Linked DNA regions of Callithrix jacchus. The protein of the gene in region 1 binds, or shares a complex with, the protein of each later gene. Links are inferred from orthologs where the notes say so. Each region holds a gene or a part of one and is shown on either strand. Other genes may lie near its edges.

The links.
Region 2: USP39 (region 1) and LSM2 share a complex: the UniProt entries of both Homo sapiens proteins name them as parts of the U4/U6-U5 tri-snRNP complex. The link is inferred for Callithrix jacchus from reciprocal best matches to the Homo sapiens genes USP39 and LSM2.

The regions. Positions count from the first base shown.
Region 1 is NC_133515.1:27,397,491-27,401,304, reverse strand, and holds part of USP39 (ubiquitin carboxyl-terminal hydrolase 39), read left to right. Parts: intron 1-2,197; coding exon 2,198-2,350; intron 2,351-3,814.
Region 2 is NC_133505.1:39,306,567-39,311,089, forward strand, and holds the start of LSM2 (U6 snRNA-associated Sm-like protein LSm2), read right to left. Parts: upstream 2,980-4,523; 5' UTR 2,880-2,979; coding exon 2,877-2,879; exon of another isoform or gene 2,745-2,876; intron 2,276-2,744; coding exon 2,208-2,275; intron 1-2,207. UniProt on the Homo sapiens protein: Plays a role in pre-mRNA splicing as component of the U4/U6-U5 tri-snRNP complex that is involved in spliceosome assembly, and as component of the precatalytic spliceosome (spliceosome B complex).

The DNA.
Region 1 (3,814 bases):
CCAGGGCTCCCAGGGGACTGCTCCACCTGAGGACAGGGAAGAATCTCAGTCCTTTTGGGCCTTGAGAGATTGCTTTCCCTTTTGGAAGGAACCAGGGAAACTGATTGTCATTTCTGCCTTTAACATTGAGGACTAGGACTGAAGAAATATGGCTGTATTCTGATAGGGTTGAAAGTGTTTTTGTGAAATGAATTATTCTTCCACACTTTGAAGTAGGGATATTAATTGGGTGTGGTGTAGGACAGTAGTTACCAAGCTGCACACCAGCTCCTGGCTGCTTTTATTTTATGATGTGGCCAGAGCATCCAGCCACAGATGTATCATCTGTGGGCTCTAGTTTGTGACCTGGACCAAGAGATACTCATTGTACTGAACATGGAAAGTCCTCTTGGGCTTTGATTAGTGTTGGGCTTTTGATTATTATTTTTCTTTTCAGCATGTGGGGAATATTCATGGTGCCAAATGCTCTGTTTTTGTTTTTGAGATGGGGTCTCACTCTGTTGCCCAGACAGGAGTGCAGCACCAGCACAGCTCACTATATCCTTGACCTCATGGGTTCAAGTGATCCTTCCACCTCGGCCTCCCATGTAACTGGGACTACTGGCATGTACCATCATGCCCAGATAAATTTATTACTTTTTTTATAGAGATGGGGTCTCGGCTGGGTGCGGTGGCTCACGCCTGTAATCCAGCACTTTGGGAGGCTGAGACGGGTGGATCACAAGGTCAAGAGATCGAGACCATCCTGGTCAACAAGGTGAAACCCCATCTCTACTAAAAATACAAAAATTAGCTGGGCATGGTGGCGTGCGCCTGTAATCCCAGCTACTTGGGAGGCTGAGGCAGGAGAATTGCTTGAACCCAGGAGGCGGAGGTTACGGTGAGCCGAGATCGTGCCATTGCACTCCAGCCTGGGTAACAACTGCGAAGCTCCTCAAAAAAAAGAGGTGGGGTCTCATTGTGTTGCACAGGTTGGTCATGTTCTGTTTATTTTTAAGGAAAGTTTGGTAGTTTTTGAAATACTGGTTTTTCTACTTGCGAAAGTTTTATAAGCCTATTTTTTTTTGAGTCACACTGTTGCCAGACTGGAGTGCAGTGGCACCATCTCAGCTTACAGCAAAATCTCCACGTCCCAGGTTCAAGCGATTCTACTGCCTTAGCAGTAGATTACAGGTGTGTGTCACCACACCTAACTAATTTTTGTATTTTTAGTAGGGGCAGGGTTTCACCACGCCTGGATGGTCTTGATCTTCTGACCTCATGATCCACCCACCTCGACCTCCCAAAGTACTGGGATTACTGGCATGAGCCACTGCCAGGTTTGTTAATAATTGAGGTTAAAATTGTTATACATAGGCTGGGTGCAGTGGCTAACACTTGTAATCCCAGCACTTTGGGAGGCCGACGCAGGTGGATCACTTGAGGTCAGGAGTTTGAGACCAGCCTGTCCAACATGATGAGACCTTGTTTCTACTAAAAATACAAAATTGCCCAGGCATGGTGGCGCACACTTATAATCCCAGCCACTTGGGAGGCTCAGGCAGGAGAATTGCTTGAACCTGGGAGGTGGCTGTTGCAGTGAACCGAGATTGTGCCATGGTACTCCAGCCTGGGCAACAGGAGCAAAACTCGGTCTCAAAAAATAAAAGTTATGGATAGTATTATAGAGGGAGAAACTGGAATAAATTCAGTGTTTCAAAGTGAGTTTGGGATGACCTCTGTCCAGTCTGTGACATAATGACTGTGGTGACTGAACCTGGGAAGCATCTGATCCTGCTCTTTCAGTCCCAGAAAGTCATGGAAATCCTCAGTCTCACCCAGCGTGGAGGAAACTCTCCTGCTCCAAAGCTAAGTACATGTGCTGCCCCTGGGAGGTTCTGAGGCTTAGACTGCTGTTAGAAACTTGAGTATTGTATCGTTTCTGGCAGTCAGTTATGAGTTGACCAGACCTGAGGTCTGCAAAAATCACTGGGATTTAGTGATTTTGGATTAAACACAGAGATCCCCTTGTAGATTAGTCATGGGAGAGGATCTACCCCATGTTACTTCAGTCTTTACATCTATTGGTTGGGACTCTTTGCGTGTGTCATGAGATGTTCATGGCCAAAGTCATTTTTGTTTCTGCAGAAATAGCTGCTCCAGACATTTCTTGTGAACTCAGCTCTTAAACAACTTAGAATTTTCTTTTGTTTTACAGTATGTATTGAAGCCCACTTTTACAAAGCAGCAAATTGCAAACTTGGACAAGCAAGCCAAATTGTCCCGGGCATATGATGGTACCACTTACCTGCCGGGTATCGTGGGACTGAATAACATAAAGGCCAATGACTATGCCAACGCTGTCCTTCAGGTAGGATCAAGACAGGAACGCTGAGGAAGGGAAGGACACCCAGAAGGCTGGGGATAGTGATTCACGCCTGTAATCCCAACACTTTGGGAGGCCGAGGTGGGCAGATCACAAGGTGAGGGGTTTGAGACCAGCCTGGCCAGCATGGTGAAACCCCATCTCTACTAAAAATACAAAAATTAGCTGGGTGTGGTGGTGTGCGCCTGTAATCCCAGCTACTGGGGAGGCTGAGGCAGGAGAATGGCTTGAACCCAGGAGGCGAAGGTTGCAGTAAGCCGAGATTCTGTCACTGTACTCTAGACTGGGTGACAGAGCAAGACTGTCTCAAAAAAAAGAAAAAGAAAAGAAAATTTCTACAGTGTGCACCTATTACTTACTCGTATAATTTTCTTAAAAATAACTTAATTGAAAATAAGACAGCTTTGACTTTCTGCCTCTCCCATTTCAGGCTTATCAGCACATGGGTAAAAAAGTCATTGGCTAGCCAGCACAGCAAACATCTAAAGAAAAACAACAGAATGCATCTGGCATGTTTCTTACTTGATACTGCAAGGACACACAGATTCAGTCCCTCATTCCCTGGAAGTTCCAGAGGCCATGAGCCCAGAGGCTAGAAAAAAACCTCACCATTTCACAGCAGCCTAGTGAGCAGACAAAGGAATGCTCTGCTTGTTGCAGAACAATTCGAGTATAGTCCTTAGCAAGACTCACTGTCTGAGGATCATCTGACTAGACAAGAAGGCAGTAATTTCTTGGCCAGTACACATACTATTTCCCGTCCCTCTCTTTTTCTTTGAAATGGAGTCTCACTCTGTCCCCAGGCTGGAGTACAGTGGTGCGATCTCAGGTCACTATAACCTCCACCTCCCAGATTCAAGTGATTCTCTAATTTCAGCCTCACAAGTAGCTGGGATTACAGTATTGCACCACCATACCTGGCTAATTGTTGTATTTTTAGTAGATTTTGTACTTTTAGTAAATTTTGTATTTTTAGTAGAGACATGGTTTTGCCATGTTGGCCAGGCTGACTCAAACTCCTGACCTCAGGCAATCTGCTCTCTTTGACCTCCCAAAATGTTGGGATTACAGGTGTGAGCCACCACGCCTGGCTGTCTCCAGATTTTTTTAATGATCGCCATTCTAACTGGCGTAAGATGGTATCTCAGTGTGGTTTTGATTTGCATTTCTCTAATGACCAGTGATGGTAAGCATTTTTTCATGTTTCTTGGCCTCATATATGTCTTCTTTTGAAAAGTGTCTGTTAATATCCTTTGCCCACTTTTGAATGGGGTTGTTTTTTTCTTGTATATTTGTTTTAGTTCCTTGTAGATTTTGGATATTAGCCCTTTGTCAGAAGGATAGATTGCAAAAATTTTTCCCCATTCTGTTTGTTGCTGATTCATTCTAATGATGGTTTCTTTTGCTGTACAGAAGCTCTGGAGTTTAATTAGATCCCATTTGTCTATC
Region 2 (4,523 bases), on another chromosome or scaffold:
TAAGTTTTGTAAAAATTCTCAAAGTATTGAGCTGGGCGCGATGGTTCATGCCTGTAATCCCAGCACTTTGGGAGGCCGAGGCGGGTGGGTCACGAGGTCAAGAGATCAAGACCATCCTGGTCAACATGGTGAAACTCCGTCTCTACTAAAAATACAAAAAATTAGCTGGGCATGGTGGCGCGTGCCTATAATCCCAGCTACTCAGGAGGCTGAGGCAGCAGAATTGCCTGAACCCAGGAGGTGGAGGTTGTGGTGAGCCGAGATAATGTCATTGCACTCCAGCCTGGGTAACAAGAACGAAACTCCGTCTCAAAAAAAAAAAAAAAATTCTCAAGTATTTAAAACCCAGTGTCTGGGCCGTGCAAGGTGGCTCATGCCTGTAATCCCAGCACTTAGGGGTGATGAGGCGGGTGGATCATTTGGGGTCTGGAGTTTGTGACAAGCCTGGCCAACATGGTGAAACCTCATCTCTACAAAAAATACAAAAATTAACTGGGCATTGTGGCAGGCAGCTATAATCCTACCTACTCGGGGAGGCTGAGACAAGAGAATCACTTGAACTCGGGAGGCTGAGGTTGCAGTGAGCCGATAAGAGTAGTGTTACTGCACTCCAGCCTGGGCAACAGAGTCAGACTCTTGTCTCAAAAAAAATAAAAATAAAAAAAATAAAGGATAAACAGAAAACTAATGCCTGCACTGCTTTTAAATCTCCTCCCACTTGTATCTTTTATTTTAATCTTATTTCAGGACTTAGACTAAATGCTGTATTTTTGAGAGACTTCTCCCTGTCCTTCTAGCCCCGTAGAACCTTCTATCAGAGAGTCTATATTCTTCCTAATGGGTGCTTCTCATTTTGTAGAAATAACATTTGCTGTTTATGGCCTGTTCTTTTTTTGTTTTGAGATGGGAGTCTCACTCTGTCGCCAGGCTGGAGTGCAGTGGTGCAATCTTGGCTCACTGCAACCTCCACCTCCCGGGTTCAAATGATTCTCCTGCTTCTGCCTCCCTAGTAACTGGGACTACAGGTGCGGGCCACCACGCCCAGCTAATTTTTGTATTTTTAGTAGAGACAAGGTTTCACTATATAGGCCAGAATGATCTAGATCTCTTGACCTCGTGATCCTCCCACCTCAGCCTCCCAAAGTGCTAGGATTACAAGTGTAAGCCACTGTGCACCATGCCCATCCTATGGCCTGTTCTTTTTTGAGACACAGTCTCCCTCTGTCACCCAGGCTGGAGTAAAGTGGTATAATCATGGCTTGCTGTAGCCTCGACTTCCTGGGTTCAAGTGATCATCCCACCTCAGGCTGGGATTAGTCCCTAATAACTGGGACTACAGACATGCATCACTACACCTGGCTAATTTTTAAATTTTTTGTAGAAATAGAGGTCTCACTATGTTGCCCAGGCTAGTCTCAAACTCCTGGACTCAAGTGATCTTCCTATCTCAGCCTCCCAAAGCACTGAGGTTACAGGTGTGAGCCACCATGACCAGCCTAGTATTTACTTTTTTTTTTTTTTCCCAGATGGAGTCTCACTCTATCATCCAGGCTGGAGTGCAGTGGCACAATCTCAGCTCACCGCCATCTCTGCCACCTAGGTTCAAGCGATTCTCCTGCCTCAGTCTCCTGAGTAGCTGGAATCACAGGCGCCTGACACCACACCTGGCTTATTTTTGCATTTTTAGTAGAGACAGGGTTTCACCATCTTGGTCTGGCTGGTCTTGAACTCCTGACCTCGTGGTGACCACCCATCACGGCCTCCCAAAGGCTGGGCTTACAGGTATGAGTCACCTCGCCCAACCCGAGAGCCAGGGAGCCTGGCTACTAGTACTTACTCTTTAAACTATATAATGCTTTGTATTGTTTTCCAATACACAGCATAATCCCAAGCTTATCTGTAAATTTAAGGCACAAGGCACTTATTTTTAAATTTTTCTTAGAGATGGGGTCTTGCTCTATTGCCTGGGCTAGAGTGCAATGGAGTAATCATTGCTCACTGCAGCCTCAAACTCCTGGGCTCAAGCGATCCTCCCTCCTCAGCCTCCCAAAGTGCTGGAATTACAGTACTGAGCCACTGAGCCCTACCCATTTATTTCTTCCTTATATCTTCCACCTCTCCCAGCCTTCAAATAGTTCTCAAATTAAAGAGGTTCCAGGGCGTTGGGCACACCCACCCCCAACAGACTTGTTGGAACAGGTACCTACCTCAGGTCATTCTTGAGTTCCACGACCACATCCTTGCCCACAAGGGACTTGAAAAAAGAATAGAAGAGCTATTGGGTGAGAGGGGGAAAACCATCATGTGGGAAGGAACATGGTAGGGAGGAGTGTCCCTTGCCAGTATTACCAAACACTGGTATTGTGAACCCCACTGCATCTCTGACAGTTCTCAAAACTTCACAGGAAAGAATAATCGGCTGACAGAGGTGAAAGGCTGGAGCCTATATTATTCCACACACTGCATTGAGCCCATCACTTAAAGTTCCAGAGAGGCTCTGCCCTGCATACGTCGGCCCAAGTGTGCTCTCTCAGTCGGCCACCTTCCTGGGGTCCCTGCCCACTCCTTTCAATGAACTGCAGAAAATATCCCACCCCCACCCGCCGGAAGCCTGCTTGGTCTCCGGCAGATTAAGTGCTCTAAGGTCTAACTTTTCTGTCTCCCGCTGTCCCCATTGACTCTCTCTCAGGGTTGAGTTTTTTTAACCTCCCATGGAAAAAAAAAAAATTCCCATTTGCTTTCAGGTATCTCCTCAACGAACTTGAGGCACAAGACTAAGGACCTAAAACTCCAGCCCAGGGGGACAAAGGCCAGACTCCCCGCCCCAACCGTCCGAGCTCCCCGAGGGCACCACCTTTTGACTTCACAGTACCCACCATGGTTTTGGCGCCGCGGGCAGCGGGCCGGACCGGGAAAAGATCAGGCTGCCGCCAGCAGGTCTGGGGAAACCGAAGCGGGAGCCCGCGCGTGGGGCGAGGCGGGGCCGCGCAGGCGCAGCGTGAAAGGACGTAGACAGCTCCAAGCACTGAAGGGGAGAGCGCGGCCGACTTGTGGCTGGGGAGAGCACTCTGGGTAGAACCGAAGGGAGGAGGAAGCCGGGAAAGGGGCGGGGTTCCTGCATTCCGACTTCCTCCCGGGCTGGCCGGCTCCCATTGCGCACGCGCGGACCCGGGCCTGGGCTGCTGGGCGGGTGGCGGGACTCAGCTCCTCAACTCAAAGGATACTGTTCTTTTCCAGGATCCTGTCGTCCATAGCGTCAAGTCCTCCTGATTTACACACACTCCTAATCGAGAATTGTGGGGAGTTTGTGAAGATTATGAAGTATGCACTTTTCTATATTGGTTAAAACCATAAAATGTAAAAGTTTTGAATCTTTTTTTTTTTTTAATTTTTTATTGGATTTTAGGTTTTAAGGTACATGAGCAGAACATGCAAGACAGTTGCGTAGGTACACACATGGCAGTGTGCTTTGCTTTCCTTCTCCCCTTCATCCACATTTGGCATTTCTCCCCAGGCTATCCCTCCCCACCTCCCCCTCCCACTGGCCCTACCCTTTTCCCCCCAATAGACCCCAGTGTTTAGTACTCCCCTTTCTGTGTCCATGTGTTCTCATTTTTCATCACCCGCCTATGAGTGAGAATATGCGGTGTTTCATTTTCTGTTCTTGTGTCTGTTTGCTGAGGATGATGTTCTCCAGATTCAAACGACACAAACTCATAATTTCTGATTGCTGCATAATATTCCATGGTGTATATGTGCCACATTTTTCCAATCCAGTCTATTATCAATGGGCATTTGGGTTGATTCCAGGTCTTTGCTATTGTAAACAGTGCTGCAATGAACATTCATGTACATGTGTCCTTAGAGTAGAACGATTTATAGTCCTTTGGATATATACCCAGTAATGGGATTGCTGGGTCAAATGGAATTTCTATTTCTAGATCCTTGAGGAATCGCCACACTGTCTTCCACAATGGTTGAACTAATTTACACTCCCACCAACAGTGTAAAAGTGTTCCTTTTTCTCCACATCCTCTCCAGCATCTGTTGTCTCCAGATTTTTTAATGATCGCCATTCTAACTGGCGTGAGATGGTATCTCAATGTGGTTTTGATTTGCATCTCTCTGATGACCAGTGACGATGAGCATTTTTTCATATAAGTGTTTTGAATCTTAAATTAAGTTGAAAAAAAGAAAAAAGGGCCAGAGGCGGTGGCTCACGCCTGTAAGTAATCCCAGTACTTTTGAGAGGCCGAGGCGGGTGGATTATGAGGTCAGAAGTTCAAGAGCAGCCTGGCCAAAATGGTGAAAACCTGTCTCTACTAAACATACAAAAATTGGCTGGGCGTGGTGGCTCATGCCTGCAATCCCAACATTTTGGGAGGCTGAGACAGGTGGATCACTTGGGGTCAGGAGTTCAAGAGCAGCCTAGCCAACATGGCGAAAACCTGTCGTCATTAAAAATACATTTAAAAAATTAGCCAAGCGTGGTCACAGGTGCCCGTAATCCGGCTACTCAGGAG